Linked DNA regions of Astyanax mexicanus. The protein of the gene in region 1 interacts with the protein of each later gene in a pairwise test. Links are inferred from orthologs where the notes say so. Each region holds a gene or a part of one and is shown in the gene's direction. Other genes may lie near its edges. The genes, in order: tubgcp4, fas-binding factor 1 homolog and pak5.

Region 1 (7,590 bases):
CACCACATATTGATTATGTAGCAAAAAGGAAATAATATGATATCACGATAACAGTATTTTTGGCCATTGCTCACCATGATTAACACCCCCCCCCCCACACACACACACACACACAAACAACAAAAAACATACTGTATTTATTTAAATTAAAATCCTTTCATTTTCCCAAAAATTGGCAGTGTGCTTTATGTATAAATTTTACCAGTCAGGTATTAAGGAGCAGTAAAGCCACTCCACTGAAGTGCAGCACTATAAGCATTAGCATTAACCGCTAACCTCAGCACTAGCTCTTTTACCGTTCAGAGGTGAGTATATTGGACTGTATTCTGTGTGTTTGCCGTGTTAAAACAAGCTATGTGAGATGAACCGCAAGCTAATAGCATCATGGGTTACCGGAACACTCAGGGTTCTAGCGCTGCGGTTAGCTGCCAATGCTAATGCTGCTGCACTCAGCCTTAGTGCTGGAGAATCTTCACTGAAAACTCATCCTTACACAAAATATTGGAAATCTAAGCTTACTGCAAATGAACAAAAGCACTTTACTCACCCAAATATAAGGTATTCAGGGTAACATTTTTCTTATTTTTTTTTTTAAGGCGGTTTTGTTAACTGCGCTTCCCCAGCTTCCCCATTAGAAGGGAAACATGCACCCTTGCTCACTTTGATGTAGGCATCCCTACTAGGGTCGCTTAGTGTGCCTTATGATCCAATGCGCCTTATGGTCCAAAAAATACGGTATAAAGGTGTAGGCATCCTTAAGCCGTCCCCTTTTTACGATTAGTTTGCACAGTGCGGTCCCATGACTGTATACAGGCCACACTGTCTGTCTCACCTGAAGTTAAAGGTCTTTTCCCCTTCCCTACGATTTCACCTCTCGTCTTGTGAACACAAACATCAGCTTCGTTCACAGTGATCCCCTCTGCCATCTCATTCACCTTGTTCACCACAGGCTGGGGGTATCTACAACAAAAGCACATGTTTAAAACAACAGCACTGTGTAGCTAATGCACTTTAGCAGATAATAAGGGTGTAAGAAAATATCAATACCATTTCACACTATATTGTTTGCGATTACTTTCAAAAACACAGACTTGAATATTAATAAGTGGTTTAGGTGTAAAGTTTGGTGTCACACAGTAGTTAATTTAAACCGGATCTGATTGAATGAAAAATTAACTATTCTTATTCATGTTTTATTTTATAATAACAATGTTTTCATTCTATATGATTTTTTCCTTATATTTGATTTAATCTAATCATTTAATCACAATGTCACTTTGTTTAGAGTGCGGCAATATATTGTGATGTATTGAATCGTGATCCCTGTGATCTGCTATCTGTGCCATGTTATCTATTTCTGCTTCTTGTAGGTACAGCTGCTAATCCTACCTTTCTTCATCATTTCAAAATGATAGAAACAGCTGAATGAGGGATTATAAATTACCTCAAATTGTCTAGAAGACATTTACATACAAAATGTTCTGGTATTTAGTGAGTAAATATGTAATCTGTTGTGTTTTGTCCCTTATGGAGACCAAGTTGAGTGTAAACTGTATGAGTGAGTTCATTAACCCCCTCCCTTTGTGTTTCTATAAAGATTGCATACAAGGACAGAATGCTTACCGACAGCCTAGGAACACAGAGTTGGCCCAAACCTTGGACAGAGAGAGGAGTTTATCGAGGCTAGGGCTCATGGTGCCCGGCTGGAGGTTTGGAAACGTCTCCAAGTTGCGAAGGACAAATTCACGCCTGGCGAGCCACTGCTTACTGGTCTCATTGTGCTCTTTTAAAGACTCCACCCATTGTGCCAGGTGCGGGTTTTGACTAAGGAACTCAGAAACATCTCCATTCCCTTCTGCCATCCCTAAAAAAGTGGGTAAAGAATACTTTAGTTAAAGCACAAAATGACTGTCAACTTATTATTATTATTTTTTTTATCTACTCTTTCTCTCACACCCACAACTATATACACACAAACACAGCCAGTCCTTCTCTCTTTCTCAAAAGCCCATTTCCTCTTTCCAGGTTGTTACATGTGGAATATAGAGCTACCAGCAATTAATTCTTATAATTAATTACTGTTTTGATCAATACAGATTTTGTTTTTAATAACACCACTTACATAAGTATAATTTTATTTTGCAAATCTATAAATGCTTCTTTTGTTTACATTTAATTAACTATTTAAAAAATAGTCTTTAAAAAAAGAAAAGGCGAAATTCATCATGCTTAAACAGAATATTTTTTTTAATCGTGTAACACCACTAATCATAACATAAAAAAAACGAATGAAGCATAAAGGAAAACACCAATCATTCCATCAATTAGTTCTAAACTGTGTTTTGACCTGTTGGTATTTTTGCTATAACGATACTTTTGCCGATATGACAAAACATTGATATTAAAATAAAAATTCAAAAATACATTACTGCAACAAAAAGAAAATAACATTTTATTATTGCATATGATATTACATAGAACACCCCTAACTGAGATATTAAATAATACACAAATTTTATCAGGTTTGTAACAGAAATCAATGATCCAGAATGTGATGATACTAATAATACACTCCATATATCTCCATATATCCAGGATTAAAGTAAAATAAATGATACTGGACAGATGTAATCTTTGTCTAGTATATATACAATTGAAAATGAGAACAGTGTGATATTTTCTGTCTTAAAAATAGTAATAAACTAGTACCCTGATGTGATATTTATGGGTGGGTGATATGGCACCATATTTCAGGGTCTTATATAGTTCACGATATTCAAAAATGTTGGCGATATTATTTTGTTCAATGCAATACAGCACACCTCTAATCTGATATATTTTGGATGATCAATTGTTTGAGATAATTATTGAGATAAACAATACTATTGACAGTTTTAGAGACAAATTATGTCATTAATAAAATAATATAAGATAATCCATCTCGTCTCTTGTAAAGAATAGTTAACAGGCAAATATTCATACATTGGGATGTGAATACTGATAAAAACACAGTTTAAACAAAGCTGATATATTGACTCAGTCATGTTAACACAAGGGGTAAAAGAAAGTTCAGCAAGAACTGGATTTACTGTAGATCCATTTTTAACTTATTTAAAAGAAAAGTCATGTTTTAAAAATGCGAAGACATTAAAGCTATAATAAACAAAGATACTGGAATCTGTTTCTGCAGTGTATCTGTACATTATCTGTAATATCCAGGTAAAACTGTCCGTGTAATTCACTCAGCACTGCTGACAGAACAGCCGGGTAAAGTAATCTGTAAACATGAAGCTCAGCTTCCTGTTGCTCCCATTAAACCAGCTGTGATTAATAACGTTACCTATATGACTGTCTCCCCCCCACTCCCCCCCCCCCCCCACACACAGTTATTCAGGTCCAGATTACAGACAGATAGATTAGTTTATTTTAGTTAGCTAACTGAGTTCCCTACAGTTTAAACCGCTTTAACCATCTTTAACCATCTGCCTCCATCTGTCCAGCTGTAAAAACTGTAAAAACACAGCGAAGCTAAATAAGCGCCCAGACAGATAAATACAGTAAACTATACACATATATTAATTACAGCCCATAATACCACATCAGCAGCTGCTGGTCCCCTTTATTCTCAGTACAGCGCGTTAGCAGCGGCAGGCTAGGCTATCTGTTCGCCAGTGTGTGTGATTAGAGGCGCCTGTGATTACTATATTATATACAGCGCTGAGCTGAGAGTAAAACCAGCAGCAGTAGGTTATCCGAGTCCGGAAAAGCAGAAGGTAAAACCAGAACCTTTAGAGAGCCTCTTTTCGTCGAGTCCACATAACAGGTGAGGATTAAGTACCAGCCAAAACAATATTAAGGAAACCTGGAGCTACAGGACTACATTTCCCATGTTTCGCTTGAGCCAAAGGACTACATTTCCCGTATTTATAAAAAACTTTGTTTTTAATGTTTTAAATGTTTATCTTTTATGAATTCTAATTATAACTTTGACCTCATATTTAATGCATATTTGACCATTTTAAATAAAAAAAACATACAAAATAGAATAGATCCTAAGATATTTTGCAAAAATGTATTCTTTTAAATATAGATTGCATTTCTGCCAAAAAAAAAAAATCTGTAAAGAAAATGAGGAAGCCTTTCGAGTTTTTATTTCTATGTAAGTGTTGTACTGTCGTAAAATTAATTATTTCTGCACAACATATAAGAATAATAAGAATAAAATAAGAATTAAAAAAAATCTAATTTCGAGCTTCCCACTTGTAAATACAACTCGTTGTTCCAGTGCAATTTCATTTTTTTTACTAATAGTTCTTTCCTATTTGCAGCACTGCTCAAACGCAGCATAACCTGCTTTGATCTAACATTAAAAACGGGTTATTATTAAATATGTGTTTTTGCAAAAGCAAAAAGGGACGAACTCCTAGCTACGTTGAGCTAAAATACTACAATTCCCTAGTTATGATGAGCTAAATGACTACATTTCCCTAGCTGCGTTGGGCAGAAGGACTACATTTCCCGGCGCCGGGAGGCTGTTTTGGCGGTGTTGGTGTTAGCTGCTTTAGCTCGCGCTGGTTTAAGTTAATGGATGCAGTGGAGTAACCGGTTATTACTGTAAATATTAATAATCACCTGTAACCATGATCCACGAGCTTCTGCTCGCTTTAAGTGGATATCCCGGCACTGTTTTTACATGGAATAAGAGGAATGGATTACAGGTAACGAGATGTGCATGAGATAACTTACCCGTTAACCAGTACTCTGTGTTATTAAATATTACTCTATAGTAAGCTGCTGTAGATAAATATTAATTTAGTCCAGTGTGATATTTGTGTCCTAATTCACAGCTGTGTGGAAACCCTTAGTGTAGAAGAGATCGATCATCTCATTCATTCATCATACTGAATATAATTATTGATCATATTCAACTAGTTATTCAGATATAATCACTAAAAACTATGAAATATTGGTAATAACAGTAATTGTTGCACTGTTGTCTGCTGTTTATAGTGCACAGACCAGGCCACACTGACTTCTTCTATACACTGCACTTAAAGTCAAGTCAAGTAGTTTTATTGTCAATACTGCATATGTACAGGTACATACTCTCCTTCCCAAAGTTACAACAAGTAAAGCAAATATATTCATATACAAATATGAATCATAAAAGAATGAGAGATACTAAATGCACAATATAACAAGGTCACATATATAGACATACGTGAGACAAGAGACAATAGTGCAACAGTGATGGGGGATTAAAGAGGGAATTATCGTACTGTTGTAAACAGAACCCATATAACAGTAATGCAACTATAGAGGTATAAAGCTAAAGGCTCAGAAAGTAAAACGAGTGCATAATAGTTCCAGTACTAAGTTTCAGTACTGTGTTAAATCCTGCATTAAGTTCAGTAGTGTGTTGGTACTATTCATTCACTTACATTCACATTACTACATCTTTTGGATTTATGTTTGGCGGTGTTTCTCAAAACACTACAGTATTAGTCATTTTAGTAATATATGTGTAGAAAGATAGATCATTAAATTGATCCCAAAGGAAATTAGGGCATCCAGTAGCTTAAACAACACATTGTACAGTCATAAACACACAGGAAGTATAGATATATAAAACTTTGGTAGAACAGTGCAGTAAATCAATCAGCCAATAAATAATCCATACAGCAAAAGTGGAAGTTGCAGATGACACTGTATTTGGAATAAAGTTACTAGGTGTGCTAATATACATGTAACAAAATGTATATTAATCATGTGCATGTACCCATAGGTGCATATACTTAACACGGGTGGATTTTACCAACACGCAAAGCAAAAACGAAAAAAATATATATATATTTTTTGTACATGCAAGTTTAGCTAGGCGAGGTAGACTAAGGTAGCTTCGGCACAACCATAAATTGGTCTTATCCCATTGGTGCCCAAAAAAAGAAAGAAAATTAAGCAAAGGAAGTCCAGCACAGAAAGCTTAACAAAGCTCACCAATTTTTTTCACAGCAGCAAGAAAAGAATCGTCTGGTGAGGATGAGGCACCAGAGACAGCTAGGTCGTCAGAGTCAATATTGCATTTTGCTATACAAAAGAATCCATTTGATCAGGGCCCCCGGAAAAAAAACATTGCTTGTGGCCCCAGAACTTCCAAATCCGCCCCTGATCATCCATACCTGTGGGTGACTGACCCAGTCTGTCTGTTGAGCAGGAGTCTGACACTGAGTACACTCCTCTGCTTCATTAAGATGGTGTGCCGTGAGTCACTATCATCGCCTGTGATAGAAAACGAAGTGTTTTCTTACAAAGTTTAAATTGTAGCTCCTAAGATAAAGAAGCATGGCTGTTTGCTCTCCATATGTACAGACATGGACAAAATTGTTGGTACCCTCAGTTAATAAAAGAAAAACACACAATGGTCACAGAAAATTTGAATCTGATAGAAGTAATAATAATTAAAATGTTATGAAAATGAACAAACGAAGGTCAGACATTGTTTGCAACCATGCTTCAACAGATTTATTTAAAAACAAATAAGCTCATAAAACAGGCTGGACAGAAATTATAATACCTTTAACTTAATATTTGCTTGCACAACCATTTAAGGCAATCACTGCAATCAATTGATTCCTAAGACTTCTGCACCTCTCAGCAGGTATTTCATGAACAAACTGCTTCAGTTTTCTCAGGTTTGAAGGGTGTTTTTTCTAGACAGCCTGTTTCAGCTTCTTTCAAAGATGCTCAGTTTAGGTCAGGGTTAATAGAAAGCCACTTCAGAATAGTCGAATGTTTTCCTCTTAGCCATTCTTTGGTGTTTTTAAGCTGTGTTTTGGGCTAATATCTGGTTGCAAGGCCCATGACCTGCGACTGAGACCAAGCTTTCTGAGCAACACATTTCTCTCTAGAATCCTTTAATAGTCTTAAGATTTCATTGTACCCTGCACAGATTCAAGGCACCCTGTGCCAGATGCAGTAAAGCAGCCTCCACCATGTTTCACAGTAGGGACAGTGTTCTTTTCTTCATATGCTACATTTTTCTGTCTGTATTCTGTCTGTCTTCCATTTTTCAGTCCATATGACATTCCCCTAGAAGCTTTTTGGCTTGTCAACATGTAGTGTGGCAAATTCCAGTCTGGCTTTTTTTATGTTTTGTTTTCAGCAATGACGTCTCCTTGGTTGTTTCCCGATCTGACACTGACTGTTTCCTGAGCTTAAAGTTCACCTTTAATCTCTTTACTGTTTTTTCTTGACTCTTTTATTACCATTCGTATTATCTGTCATCAGTTGTCATCAATTATCCTCCTGCCGCCATGTCCAGGGAGGTTGGCTACAGTCCCATGGATCTTAAATTTCTGAATAATATAAGTAACTGTAGTCACTGGAACTTCTAGCTGCTTGGAGATGGTCTTAAACCCTTTACCTTTAACATGCTTGTTTTTACTTTTCCTTCTAATCTCCTGAGACAGCTCATGTCGTCAAACAGCGCAGTGACTACCTGTAGCCCTGTATATAGGCCCACTGACTGATTACAATATTGTAAGACACCTGTGATGCTAATTAGTGGACACACCTTTGATTTAACTTGTC
Region 2 (8,048 bases), on another chromosome or scaffold:
GCAGTCTGAATTAGCTACTGCAGTGTATACTGACAATAACGCAGCTACCTATGCTAACTCAACATTCCAACAAGATATTTAAAGCATATGTGGGGACAACACATAGCTTTCTAGCCAGACAACTTATATCCACTGCCTTTCAACAAAAAGGAGATGCATCTGTGGTTGAAGGAACTAAAACATCCATCCATCATGTTATGATGAGTGATGAGTAAAAAAGATGCATTGGGTGGCATGAGGCTGCAGGAGAAGATAACAGGTAAACCTTTCAAGCACCACTGACACCTTCACTTTACTAGAGATTTACAACCAAGAAATGTATCTGGGTTAGGATTTTCTGGTATTGGTTTCTCCTCTACAAAATGATAATAGCAGACATATGGATGTTCAGGTGAATGTTTTATATTTAGCTGCGTTAACTACAAATGCAGCTCCTCTTCTGTGGAAAGTGACGGATATAAGTTAAAGGCAGCTCCACAAAACTGGGATGATATTTTTTATTGATAGCAGATTAGGATAAATTTTAGAATAATTTCAATTGGATTCATTAATTAATAATAGGTAATAGTTCTTGTCATGTTTTTTAATTTGATTTGAAAAATCTTTATATTTTTTGTTCCTTGAAACATTTTGGAGATGCAGCTTTGAATCTGTAGATGCAGACTATAAATCAAAAGCTATTATAATTCATTACATAACATCCAATAATATTACAACCCACAATAATATTTCTTTGATTCCCCAGCCATGCAAAGGCTTCATTGTCAGATTAGCCTTTTTTGCTTTTTGGAAGCCAAGATGCTAATGAGATTTAAGAACATGTGAGAAAGGACAGGTGATTCTGTTGAATAAATGATTTTGTGATTGATTTTTTTGAATGTTGACTTTTTTGAATGAGTGTACAATATTCACAAGGAACTTGATTTACTATTAAATTAATAGAAATATACATTTAATTAAACTTAGATTTATGTTAGTATTAGACAACATTATTTAACAATATGTTAACTTTTTTGAGATATTGTATTTTTTGCACTATAAGGCGCACTTAAAATTCTTTAATATTCCCAAAAATCGTCAGTGCTCATTTTAATTTTGTGCGTTTTACTTTTAAAGAAAGTCTTTTTATCACGGTTTTGTTACTAGGTTAGCTTTACTTAGCTTAGTTAAGTTAGCTACCCCTCACCACCACCCAGCAGCATGGTGAGTGAGACGTAAGGTTTGTTAGTCACACATGAGGTTGTGATCAGTCACAGGCATTAAGTTAAAGGCCTGAAGGATGTGAGGGTCAGCAGTGCTTAAACCAGCTGCTACAGCCTGCAGCCGTTCACTGCAGGATCCCTACATTGTGATAGTAAAGAAAACTCCCATAGCTACATTTCTGAACTTCTTTTACAAATTTCAGCTAATCAGGTCGATATTTCTCTAGGTTTTCTGGGTGATGGGTCATAATGTGCCAAGGCTTTAAGGGGCTGGCACAATTTTAAACTAAAGTGCTATAGGGTACTCCTGCATCCCTGCTTCTTCAGTACCATGTGAAACAGTTTTCCCTTTTATTGGCAAAGTATCTCACTAGTATCAGTAACACTGGGCTAAACTGGGTCAATGCTAAGGATAACCCTGGATATAAAATACAGGACAATAAAGTGACATGTTAAAAAAAATCATACAAAATTAAAGAAGAAAAGGCAAAAGAACTTTAACATAACAGCTCTAAAAAAAAAGCTCTAAAGCTGTGCTCTAAAGTGTCTCAAACTGGGATAAGCAAACTAAACTGCATCTAAGAAACAGAGCACCACACTTCCCTGCACTTAACCACTAAACAAATATGTGTAAACATAAAACTAAAAGCTAAACTATGCTAAGATAACCAATATACAGTACATAGCATGGAAGCGGCTAATTAAAAACCATATGTTTTTCCCAAAAATAGGGATTGATTGAGTCCATGTACTGTGGAAAAATATTGTTTCTAAATGAAAATAAAGTCAATCTTTAGAAAAGCTGCAACAGTTTTAACATAACCATCTTAATCATATTGGATTTATTTTAACATTAAAATCAAATAAACATAACATAACATAAATAGATCTCTACTGGTATTTTAATCTCAGTGTCTTCATGAGGTAGAGTCACCTGGAATAGTTCCTGGTGGTGCTGAACAATATTTGCTGCTTTTCCTTTACGCTGTGAAGCTCCAGCTCATCCCAAATCTCATCTGATCAGGTTTAGATCAGGAGATCGTAGAGGACAAACAATTTTAATGTTACGTAATTCCATATGTGTCCCTAATTGTTTTCATTTAGAATTAATCTACAATGTATAAACAAATTAAATAAAAAAAAAAAAACCTTTGAATTAGAAGGTTTGTACAAAAATTTACCTGGACCTGGAACACAGTCACAAACATACAAAAAAAATAAAGTTTTGCGCATAACAACATTAAATCATTGTCAAACCAGTACACAGTACACAGTTTTGAAAAGGTTTTATAATAAAGTAGTATAGTTATCTAAATTTTTAACTGGAACACTGTCAATTATGATGTAACTTATTTCCCAGCTCTGATATCAGACTTTCGAGTTAAATGGAAAACAGTATGAGCGTTCTCATATCTGCTCATATCTCGCCACTCTCACAACCTGGCATGAAAAGCATTTATAGCTGGAGGGAGGTCCTTTAACCCCTGTGACCCCTGGAGACGTGCAACTGCCACGCATTCCAAGATTCCATCAGGCCTGTCTGTGCAGTTCTAATGCAGATGGCTAGGCTGCTTTGTGTTCGTTTGAGACTGTCCTTAGCCCTTTAAGACATGATGGTTACTGTAAGAATCTTTAGAGTTTTTAAATCATGTCTGGGTGAACATTTTTTGGATTATTTGATGATAATTTTGAGCACATAAACCAACCTCCATAGCAGCGTTCACCAGTATAGTCTATGTTTTCTTCTGAATAAGCAGCTTTTACAACACCATGACCATCAAGACCAGTTTGTACCAATAAAACCAGCTACCAACTGGTTTTGAGCTGGACTGTCAGCAGGTAAACTGGGTACACAGATTTCTAGAAGAATAACAAGTTTTGCCTTTTCTGTTGAGGGCTGAATAAGAATAACTGTGCTGCCGTCGCCCCCTGGTGGTCCCAGCAAACAGTGCCAAATATAAATCAGTAATTTAACAGATTTCAAATTAATGCTAAACATTTAACATTAACTTCAATTAATTGTCTTTCCAATCTGACGTTAATTCCTCATCACTTTTGCACACTCAATTCATATTACATTTACATCATTTATCTGACGCTCTTAACCAGAGACTTACAAGGTTATTCCTATTACAGAGGTGAGCCAATGTAGTGTTACGAGTCTTGCCCAAGGACTCTTACTGGTTGGTGTATTAGGAACTACTGGTGTACCAGGAATTAAACCACAGTCTCCCACATTATGTGATAGCTCATAAGCAGATGGTGGTGTTATGCACTGCAACCACATATTTCAAAACATGTTGATTGTAGTCCTGTAATCCATAATTTTGTTTATATATTTTTCAATTAAAAAAAATGAAATAATATTGACATTTTTAGAAAAATAAATCAACATAAAACAAACTATGTTAGAAATTTTAAACATAAAAAATGTATTACTGCATAAGAAAATTGTAAATCACTCCTGCTTTATGTACAACAGGAATTATTTTATGAAAAACAGAATAACAGAATAGCTAAACAATAAAGAAAATAGAATTTTAAAATGTGACCATTTTACTTTTGGTACTCATTTCATGAAATAAAGTAGGTAACTATAAATGCAAATAAATATATCTGTGTAATTAAATAAACAAATAAATGTTTTTTTAATAAACCCTTATTTATTTTACCATTCACACTTTGACATAAAAGTCTGATAAAATTAGATAATTAAATACATCATAGCATGACTTAATGTTACATCAATGACTTAATCTTACTAGCTACATGTTTAAATACTGAAGACAGGCAAGTGTAACATTTGTCAGTTCAGTTTTCTGACCACTTGAGGCTAAATTTGAAAATAGAAAATTGTGTTTTTGTTTGTTTTTCCAGTTTTTACTGTTTCCATTACTGCCTAAAAATTAAAAAATTGAAGTGAAATTTTCGCATTTATCCTCAAAACGTCAGAAAGCTAAACTGATAAACAATAATAATAATTTACGAATTGATTATAACCCCTGTTGTAGCGGGAAATGACTGTGAACCGCTAGAGGGAGCCCACAAGTTAGCCCTCAATGAGTACTGCAGCTCTGAACATAATTATTGACCACAGAATTTAATAGAGGCGATATTTTAAAAAGCTCATTCACATTCAAGCCATAGAAAAAATTCAGCTTAGACACGAAACCCCAAATATGGGCATACAAGGACTAGAGAATGACATGACTGCAGTGGTGTATGGAGGTGAATGGAGATAATTATTTGAAACTCAAACTAAAAATAGTATACTATCTACTTGCCCAGGGTATATATTCCTTAAAAAACGTACCCGTATGTTTACTTCTTTTTTACAGTATGTTTTAGGCAGTAAAGGAACTGTATTACTGCTACTGTGAGCTGATGGAATTACAGCGAGAGTGCGTTTTAAAGCTTTATAGCTGGCATTTGAAAGCTGTATTTGAATGTCTGATGTTGTTTAGTGATGAGAAAACGAGTAAACTCTTCAGTATAACAATGATTCAAACTGTACAAACTCAAAAGGGCCTATTAGTTGGGTATTCTCAGAGAGAGAGAGAGAGAGAGAGAGAGGAGAATAATCCTCAGATCTATTTAACTGTTACAGTGATGGAGACATAATTTTTAAAGATTTTAAACTTTAGTTATAGGGCTTTTAAATATGCTCTGACTGTATCTCCAGCATCAACTCACCAACCAATCAGTGCCTAAAAATATAGGGGTATGGTTTATTTGCTTCTTTTAGCGAAATAGATTATTCTAATATCTAAAACTAAAGGAATATATTTGACAGGTGATTAAACTGACTCCGAACTACATTACCCACAATTCAACACAGGAAACACATAGCACGTAGCACAAAACACAGGGTTTAAAAGTGTAGTAGAGGACAGCAGTCTGTAATCGGCTGCAGGACCGGCGATTTTGGGATAAAATTAAGCAAGTTCGTAGCTGCTTCCTTTAGCATGACCAGTAACGACTAGGTTCAGTTAACTTGAAACTACCTAACCTAGCCTAGCCTAGCTTAGCCTAGCTGACTAACTGACGCTAGGTAGCGTTAGCTAATGAACTAATGAGCTAACCAGGTGTATTATAGTGGAAGAATAGAGGCGGACAGGGGAGCAGAAGCCTGATATCTTCAGTCATTTTGATTTATGGAGAGAAGAGGTGGCGATAAAGCGGGATAAATAATTATAGAAGAGCGGAAATGTGGGTTTAGCCGGACATGCTGTTGCCAATGGCGACATGGACGCTCAGGCTGCTCTGATTTACTCTCTGCGGGCTGAGCTGAACACTGCAGGGAGGAGATGGTAAGAGTCTCACAGCCTCTGTTTACTGCACAGATTCACTGCATATCCTCCACCGACAGACAGCTAGCAGTGTAACCTGGCCCTCCTGAGCTACCTGAGATCATGATATAGATAGATTATGATTATGGATAGGTCAGGATATAGATAGACTCATATAGAGACAGATATAGGGATACAGTAGCCTGGAAGGACTAAGTTACTGATCTTTGATTAAGAAATAACAATAAATGTCAACATTTTATTATACAAAAATATGTATATAATAGTAAGTATTAGTATGAAGGATAAAGCATCATATTAACTATAAACTTCTCTTTCTTTTAACCACTGCAGAGTTTAAAGCAGCAGAAGAAGAAGGGGCTGAGGGGTAAGTGCTTCAACTGTAGGACCACATACACAACCTGTTACAGCCATCATACTGTGTTCATACTGAGTCCAGACTTCACCTTGCTTTAGGGTCAGTTGATGACGTGTTGGGGGATCTCTTGGGAGACAGTGATGGTAAGATTCCTGTGTGTTATTTGTATAACTTTTGCATAAAATGTAAAAAGAACTTCTGTTTATCCCTGTGATTCCAAATGTAGAAGGGGGAAAATATATTTAGATTTTTTAAAATATAAATCAAGTGTTGTGGTGGTAACAAACATATTGGAAAGACTATTTTGTTTTTAACTAATTTTACTTACATTTTACAATATGTGCACTTCAGTGCACAACAGGACTTCGGTAATCACAAATGTGAACATTGACAAAATTCAAGAGCAGATTATGAAAACTGAAAGCTCGACAGAATTCGTTGTAATGCCCTCAAACAATTCTGCTGATGATTTGGGTTTAATATTAAGAGAAGAATATGAGATAAAAGATCAACATTTTAGCTTTTATTTCCAGGTATTTACATCTGGGTCTGATACACAGTTGACAGAAACATTGTGCATGCTGTAAAGAAAGGGACAAAAACAACTGTTTGTGACAGGAGGGCAGGAGGGAAGCTATAACAGTCTTCATGAACAAAAGTACAGAGGCTTTACCAGATATGAAAACCACTAATTAACAATAAGAATAGGAAAGCCAGGCTGGAATTTGCCAAGAAGTACAGAGAGAAGTCTATGGACTGATTATAGACTGATGACACAAACATTATCCTTTACAAAGGTGATGGAAAGGCTAAATTTTGGAGTAAAAAACTTATTAGTGAAACACAGGGGTGAATATCTCATGGCTTGGGCTTGCATGGCTTCTTCTGGGATTGGGGGGATTAATCTTCATTTGATGTAAAGGGTACTCAGAAGTCTACTTTTTTTTTTTTTGTCAAATTAAAGAAAGATTTAACTAAACGAATTGGGAGATCCTTCATCACGCAGCAAGATAATGACCCAAAACACACTGCCTGCAAGAGCATCACAAAAGAAGAATGCAAATGTTTAGGTAATGTCATTGGGTCACCGTTTTGATGCAGTTATTAGAAAAGTTAGAAGAGTGGCACAAAATTTAATTCCCGGGTCTCAGGTGGATAAGCTAAAATAATAAGAAATAGTACAACAAAACTCCAGAAATACTCAACGCAAAAGTTTGTCCTAAAAGCTGAGAGGTCAGCCTCCTTTAATCACATAGGATATCAATAACATTGTCCAACCTTTCAGCAACTGACAGCTGCATACCTTCTTCCTATCATAATTTGTCAGATTGTCTCAGATTCTTTCTCTTCTCCATTTTCTTGCTTCAACACATCGACAGTCACTGCCTAATATATACCACCATTTTTACAGGTTTGCTACTGAAAGCAGGAAAATGTGTTTTTTTATGTTGTGTTATGTTTCATGTTGTCAGTGTAAATAAATGTTAGTACATTGCAATGTCAGATTCCCTGTGTCAGTGCATCCTTGTAGTGTACATTTGTGCTTAATTTTGTGAAAAACTAAAACCCTTTTCATTTTAATCTGCACTGAACTTCAGTAAAAAAATGTATCTGAAAAAGTGCTTTTTGCCCTCTAGATCCTCCCAAGAAGACCAGATCTCCCGCTGGAGTCCTACCATCACGCAGCAGCAAGAGGTGAAAATATATATTTCTAATTTTAATAAAATAAAGTTATACATACCTTCAAATACACATACTTTCGAAATTATCTATATACTTAAACTGATCTGTCAGGTCTATTATCTGCTGAAAACAGGTCTCTGCTGGATGATGATGATTTCTTCAGTAAATTGGCGGAGGAGGCGGAGAAAGATGATGAGGTGAGAGAGTGGTATTATTTTTTTAAGTGGCTTAAGGAAGGTAATTAAGAGAGATAAATAGTGACTTGTGTTGTTTTGCAGGGTTCTGATGTGTCTGAGGCAGATCCAAAGGCTTTGTTGGAGAGTATGAAGGTGGTCGTCTGTTTACTTTTTAAAGTTATACTTCAGAATTAAATGTGCCTTAAATGTGCTAGCTCTGAAATGATTAACCATAGAATATAATGATATTTTAGTAATTTCCAATTACTTTTAGCAATTTTTCCATGTATTATTATTATTATTATTATCATTATTATTA
Region 3 (7,451 bases), on another chromosome or scaffold:
GGTGTCGGTGTCAGCCTCTGGTCACAAACCTGATGCGGTGTGTACGAACGCGTGTGTAAACGCACACAAGGTGCCAGTGTGCCCCGGGGCGTGAGAGGAAGTGGAACAGAGGGTGAGGATAGCGGGCATCTGCAGCAGGATGATGGTGTGGGCCGGGCAGAGAGGCGACTGCCCCAAGTGCCGGAGCTCTGGGCTTAGCCTGTCTGCAGTGGGATGCTGCCGTCGGCACTTTTTTTGGCCCAATCTCACGTCGGGCGCTTTCAGAGTGCGCATGGGTGAGCAGCCCAGGGCGAGGCCCTCACTGCACCTCCGCTGAGGAAGGGCCCGGGAATGCCATTCTCTCCATACATGTGCTGGATGACACTTTTATGGAAGCTAATGTTGTGCCGAGTGTGGCGATCTTTCCGGAGCCGTCGTTTGGGCAAAAGGGAATAATGAATTTGATACCAGGTAAGACTGTATGCAGTGGTGGAGCTTATTGTAGTTGTTGTTGTGTAGAAACCTTGTACAGTGCTAAAACTAAAGGTGTTAATAGGTTCTTAAGAGCAGTGAAAAGATGTGTATGAGGCTTTCAGACCACAACGATGACAGGTTACTCTATCATTTATTGTAACAGCTATTCTTCCCAGAATTACAGAGTTTTAGCTTAAATATAGAATATTATTGTTGGCTAATCAGGTGAGAACAGTTGTAGTTTGCAGTTGCAATTGTTTGTTTACTAAATGTCATTCATGATGTGATGACGCAGATGATGCATGTGTTCATTCATGCATTTAGTAACTTGGCAGTCAGACCACGCTTTAGATGACCACCTGTTTGGGTCAGACTCAGTTTAGACTGGCATTGCCTTTCAGGAATAGAGTGTCTTCCTCTCTGATTCTTTTGTAAGGTGAGCTTTCAAGTGTCTTTGAATGACCACACAAACACACACAGGTCAGCTAGTCCGTTCATTTCAGTCATGTGACCTTTGACATTTGATGTTCATTTAGCAATGTTATTATATTGTGAACTAGAGGATTATTAGGAATTCTTCTAGAGAGCCTGTCACATAATTCTCCAAAAAATAATTGTGAAAATGGTACAATTGTAAAAAATGCAATTACAAGTTACTTTTAAAGAGCAACGACCTTTTAATTATTGAGTATATTGTACATACTGAAAGTGTACAATATTTTGTCAGGTGTTAAACGTGTCTCACTATACTTTTATGCACAGGTAACCAAAACAATTGTTTGATCATTGTGGGCGAGTCGCTGTGCACATGCACACTGTAGAAGCGATGAGGCAACACGTTGAAAAGTGGTCGTAGGTTGCCAGTTGAATACAAAACCCTTATTGAGGGGGGTGACTATAGTTCTAAGGTTTGAACAGACTTGTGAAATTATACAGGAGAGAAGTTGTTCTGTATAAATAAAACTAAGAAAGTCAGTATATTGGTATGCTGGAGTATACTCGTATTTGTACTTGTATACTTTACATAAATGAGTGTAAATGTAGTAAAAATAATGGATAATTTTGAGGTGAGAATAAAATGAATAAAATGATTTATTGCTAGGGTAAATATAGGTTATGACCAAATATTGTGTGACAAGTTGATCATGTAATTATTGTGACTTATAGGCCAAGCAGGAATTGTGTTATTACATTTTTCCCATGCTTGCATATGACATTAATCATTTACAACCACATCTTAATATCTTTTTTTTTTTGTTCATGTCCCTCACTAATTTGTCAAAATGACGTTTGCTTAGATACTGCTGCCTCTATTTTTGTTTGTAAGTGACTCACATTTGTCATTAGTGTGACCTGTGGCCTAAAATGCCCACACTCATTATCACTAGCCACTGTTGGCATTCTTTCAACACTGGATGATGATAACAGTGATAAGCACACACACACGATGAAGTGCGAAAAAAAAAAAAAACTTGTGAATTGTGATCTGATGATCATTTACTTTGGTAACACAGGGTTATATCAGTGGTACAGAAGAGAACACATGGCCTGAATCAGATTTAAAAAATTGGTTCTAAATTACAATAAAAAAAACAGGAAAAACTAATTGTACCTTTTTTACTAGTCCTGTACTCAGTCTTAGTAAAATTCTCCTTGCACAGTCTGTGCATTTCTTTATTCAGTTAAGAGTGCTATGTGTGCTGAATGCCGCACTAAGGCCCGTACTTTAGAGGATGTACAGGGAATGGAATGGTCTTATAAAGTTGCTCCTGGAGGCCTGAGAGTTATCAGCACATGTGTACAGGAGCCTGAAATAGCCACAGGGCCTGTGCTGTGAGCAGGGCTGTTGGGGAAGGGCCAGACCCGCTCTGTCCCACACTGCCACAGTGCTGCTCTGAGCGGGAAACGCCTGCCGTCTCTCAGATGGCGACAGATGGTTCAAGGGACAAACAGAACTTAAGGATCTGTGCCTAGTTCCCCCTTTCAGTGCCACATCTCAGACCCATGGCTGTTGCTGAACATGCTGGACGAGGACATTAACTCCTCTATCTCTGGCCTGGCTTTGGGGCCTAGTACTGGCTAATATCGATAGGTAGGTATGAAAATATTTGTGTTATTACAAAAATATGGAAGTATCTTAATAGAAGACGATATTTAAAGTACAGATATTCACAGGTATATACACATTCTTTGTATACACATTCTTTGTAGTTTTAAGTTAAACTGTTTTTTTTCCTGCAATAATCATTTTATAGTGATTGATTTTTGTTCCAATCCTTTCAGCTCTCAGACAGTAAAATTTTTTTCTTAATTTTTTAAAGTTCTTAAGAATTGTATTGATAATTAAATATTAATTTTCCACTTTATTATATAGCAGAGAATCAGAGCCTCTGATTGGCTCCATTCTATCCTGCCTGCTCCTCACAAAGCCCTAAGGAGACATTAGAGCTGATATTAATTAAAGTTACAAAAAAAAAAGAAAATTACATAGGTTATTTCTGTTGTCATGGCAACCCAGACAGCACTGATTTATGGAATATACAATGTTTCCATTGATATGATGCATGTTTTATCGGTTGATATGGACAACACTAATAATCACCAGTATGAAGTGTCCAATTCTTAGAGACCTATAAACTAATGTACCAAAAGTCATGGCACAGTCAGTAGCATCATGATCCATGACTTTTTCCTTGTCCTATGGAAGCTAAAGGGTGCTGCACTGATCTGTGGGATACGTGTGTTGGACCCACTGCATTGAATGTGGATGTGATTTGTGCCAGAGAACTGTTCACATGGACAGTTTTAGCCAGACACTTCTTGTCACGATCATTGCCTCTACTGCACTGTCCACTGTGGGCAGTAATGTCTTCTATTATTTATTACTACTAGTCTGTAGCACTCCACCCCATTACATTTCATTTTCCAAAACAGATTTTGTTTGTGGCCCGCCATGTAATGGCTTGGGAAAAAAGCTTGAGTTGATACTTAAGCTTCTACAGAATTATTTTAAACTGTAGTATCTAAACTTCTACCCGAGTAATAAATGTCAATACTTTTGACACCTTTGTAGAGCTTGCTTGGACTTGCTTGTATAAAGAACATGCTGGCCAGTGTTTATAGTGCAATTCCATGACTTTTGGAATGTCAGTGCATATAACTATGAATTTTGCAGTGTGACATTACTCCTTGATCTGGGAATAGACTCATAAAATAACCACCAGACGAGCAAATAAAATCTTTCTTATGGCACCTGCTGTCTTAACCTTGGCTTAATTCAGTGTTTCATTCAGAGAGGCAGGGTTTTGTTCCTCAGAAATGTGCATGGTGCAGGATTGCAACACAAACAGGAGGTTTCAGTATTAACTCTCAGTGAATTTCCTTCTTCTGTCTATAAAATAGAACTTTTGGACTTCCCAGTGCACGAACCAACCAAGAAAAGAAAAGCCTACATTATGCATATCCATGAGCTCATCCACTGAGGGAATCCTCCACAACCCTCTAGATTAACATTTCATTCAAAAACATGCATGGCAGTTCAATCGCTTTTCTACCTAAAAGCCTGCAAATGTAAGTGGTGTATGCAATTAGATTCAGTGATGGGTTTGCGTGTGGTTGACTTTTTACTGACAGCAGAGAAAAAAAGGCTCCCAGTGCCCTGCATTTCCTTTTTTTCCCCTTTAACTGTTGGCCCAGGATGCCTTAAGCCCTCTCTAGTCTGTGTAATCTCATTCCCAAGACGTCCATACTCATCTAGGTCATAGGTTTCATTTGGAGTATGACTGCAGACAGCCCCTTCACTCTCATCCCTCTGCTCATAATCCCGTCCAATCCCTTAAGCGTGGCGCGTTTGCGGAGCCGTGGCACAAGCAGTGCAAACCCCGGCACATTAAGGGCTTGTCTGGACGTCCATTGTCCAGAGTCCAGCCAAGCTTTACTGTCAAGTTTCGGAGTCGATTTTTATTGAGATGTCATGTCAGGATTTTGCTGTGATGTCAGGAATTATGACAGCAGGGCTCCTACAGCACGTCTCATCGCAGTGTTTGGACTGGGGCTTCAGAGACCAGGCTTCTGCACTGAAGATGAAGACTGAGTCAGGTCTATATGATCATAGATTTTGCCATGTACAAAATATGTCAATGTCTTCTCAGTGGAATACTGAAATATTTGCCTAAAGCAGTCGTTCAGTCAAGTGTGCGATTCTTTAGTTTTGATTTGGGGCTATTAGGCTAGTGTAGCTAACGTGATCACCAGTTTGCTCTCTGCAAATGATCACATAGCAAAAAGTCTGCTGCCCACTGTTATTAAACATGATTTAGAGCAGGCTCAACTCTCCAACAACAAATTAGGACTAAAGGGCGTTGGTCCTAATAAACCCAGCCGGCCAGATGACACTCTTTCAGCTCCCATTCACTCCTTTAGCTGCCCATTAAGTAAATCGCATAGTGGGAGGGGGATAGTCTTAGCTGATAATCTACTCTGTAACCTTGGATTAAAGACACTTTCAGGTCTCTGGGTGAAAAGTGTGTACTTATTCTGGTATACTGTGTTTATGTTGTTTCACCCAGACTTTGTTCTTTGGCTTTTTCTGGATTTTATTGGCTTTGGCCAATGTTTGGAGAGGGCCCTTTAAATGGACAGATAAATAAACAGCAATAGGCCACATTGGCAACACTTAGTGTGGGCATGAGGCCAAAGGAAGAAAGGGCTTTTGGCATGCCCGCATTGCGTAGGAGATGAGGTGAGGTGATTGACAAGTCAGCAGAATACAGATAAGGGCGCTGATAGAGGGGCTGGGAAAGCAGTGCTGTGCACAATCAGCTGTTATTTTGGGTCGATGATACATGTGTAAGGTATGAGAACAATTACCAGCCAGGTCTGTAAGCATTTGAATAGTGACACAATTTTGTATGTTCATTTACACTATGCAAGGTTTAAAAAAAATAATTGTGCTTCTTTTAGATGTGCAGTAACAATTTCAGCCGTAATAATTCAATCCACATTTTTTAAAGGCACACTATACATCATTTGGTTGATGTATAGAGATTCCCCCTATAGACTAAAAGTTCACTGTGGACTAGCCATGCGTGATTGTTTTGAGCACAACAGACTGGCAAAAGGGTTGAAAGTAAAATACAAGTATAAAAAATCTAATCTAAATCTAGGGTCATCAGTAAATGCTAGTCTAGGCAGACTTATTCATTCTGTGAGTTTTATGGTTAGCAAACACGACTAGATCTTGTACCCGTGTTTCTAATGTAAAGCAAGACTGAACTGAGGGCTACTCAACTTTTGTTCACTCTGTAATGACTAATTTAATTATCTAAAACAGTATAAAATGAATTGATTAACTAAAAAAATATTGTATAGTGTGCCTTTAATGGATCGTGTATTTCTTTTTAAAACCTTATCCAGTTCTTTAGTTTTGTGGTAACAGAGACCTATTCTGCTGTCCTTTAAACACTATTAACAGACATGATTTACAGCTACCGCAGTTAAAAGCATCTCAAATAATAACAAAAACAGTCTGCAGTTTGCCTGTATTCTGCCATTTTTGTCCATACCATCAAAACCACTGTTGGGTTGTACTTGTGCACGGACAGATAATTAATATAATTCTGTAATATCTACTTGGGGGCTCAATTGATCAGCCTTGTTTTTCCAGTCCATCTGGGGGAATTTGCAGTCAACAAGTCAACAAATTGATCTCTTTGTAATGTCCCTTAAACTATTCCTGAACCATTTTTAACTATTTTTTTACTGGCTGAAAGAGCCAGTTTGCCATGAAGGGCTTTGACATCCACATGGATGTTACAAACTCAGGGTTTTCCAGCAGAACTCATGTGCAACTCATGTGCTCAGTGTTGGAGTTTCCAGAGGACAGGGGTCAGCATGGGAACACCCACTAACTGTGAAACACATACTTCTGCTAGAACCAATATTTGGTAACAATTTATGCTACATTCCTGTGTGCAGTGTGACGTGGTTTACCAGATGTTTTGTAGTAAACACTACATATCTGGAACACAAGACCTGCTGTTTTGGAGATGCGCTCTGAGCCAGTCATCTAGATATATGCTAATATTGGTTTTAATTTTTTATCAGTATTCAGTGTCTGCTGTATATAAGATGTTTAGTGTAGAATTGTTTCCATATTCTGCATGGAAGTTAAAAAAAATGCATATAGTGATTCAGCCTGACAAAATTTTAATATAAGCATTCGAGCAAATATATATATATTTTTTTTGAATGACAGAACTACTGTGATTTCTGTAAGATTTCTTTAATTGTTTTAAATAACTACACGTGGGAAATAATTCATATTAAATTACCCCACACTTTTCATCACTGGCTGATATTTTTTTGTACTATTTAATAATTGATTTCTAAATTGTTAAGGCTTTGTTAAGGCTTTCCCTGTGCACTCATGATCTGAGATGATATGTATATGATGTTTATGAAGCCTGATGGCAACAGTCCAGCTAAACCTTTTTAATAGTGGAGAAGCCCTGAGTGCTTGTACTCTGTTCCAGTGCAAATGTATGCATGTGGCATATTCAGATTAGAGCTTCCAACTTTAGCGTCATCAACTGTGTTTCCAGAGCCTGGTTTGTTATCATCATAAAAAAAATCAACCTACTTTAAGGGTTAACTGCCTTGACTGAACACATGAGAGAAATTGTGTAGTACTTGGGCTAAACAGTGTATAGTTTCATTGTTATTGCAGTGTTGTCCTTTGCAGCGGAGATGTTGCTGCAGACTGCAAGTATGCAGTATGCAAATGAGGCCTTTAATACATCACATGTTTTAAGTGTGTTGTTTATTGTGAGCATGCTGACCAATATTGGAATTTCCTGATTTGTTATTGTAGGTATTTTGATGAACCAAATTTCTCACATGATCTAACAGAAATAATTATGTTGCTCAGAATAATCCAGATTGATTTGTTTAGTGAAGTAACATAAAGAGGTTACCAGTGTGTTTATGTGCATGACCAG

What was found.
Region 2: the proteins of tubgcp4 (region 1) and fas-binding factor 1 homolog interact in a two-hybrid assay, tested with the Homo sapiens proteins (2 studies listed by BioGRID and IntAct). The two-hybrid records come from large-scale screens. The link is inferred for Astyanax mexicanus from reciprocal best matches to the Homo sapiens genes TUBGCP4 and FBF1.
Region 3: the proteins of tubgcp4 (region 1) and pak5 interact in a two-hybrid assay, tested with the Homo sapiens proteins (2 studies listed by BioGRID and IntAct). The two-hybrid records come from large-scale screens. The link is inferred for Astyanax mexicanus from reciprocal best matches to the Homo sapiens genes TUBGCP4 and PAK5.

The regions. Positions count from the first base shown.
Region 1 is NC_064430.1:32,433,618-32,441,207, reverse strand, and holds the start of tubgcp4 (gamma-tubulin complex component 4), read left to right. Parts: upstream 1-4,528; 5' UTR 4,529-4,640; coding exon 4,641-4,718; intron 4,719-7,590. Other genes in the region: CDKN2A-interacting protein, read right to left, coding at 833-960, 1,624-1,862. UniProt on the Homo sapiens protein: Component of the gamma-tubulin ring complex (gTuRC) which mediates microtubule nucleation.
Region 2 is NC_064410.1:17,740,322-17,748,369, forward strand, and holds the start of fas-binding factor 1 homolog, read left to right. Parts: upstream 1-5,032; 5' UTR 5,033-5,509; coding exon 5,510-5,512; intron 5,513-5,845; coding exon 5,846-5,879; intron 5,880-5,968; coding exon 5,969-6,013; intron 6,014-7,507; coding exon 7,508-7,565; intron 7,566-7,686; coding exon 7,687-7,750; intron 7,751-7,831; coding exon 7,832-7,882; intron 7,883-8,048. UniProt on the Homo sapiens protein: Keratin-binding protein required for epithelial cell polarization. Involved in apical junction complex (AJC) assembly via its interaction with PARD3. Required for ciliogenesis.
Region 3 is NC_064408.1:73,057,611-73,065,061, reverse strand, and holds the start of pak5 (serine/threonine-protein kinase PAK 5), read left to right. Parts: upstream 1-4,431; 5' UTR 4,432-4,445; coding exon 4,446-4,551; intron 4,552-7,451.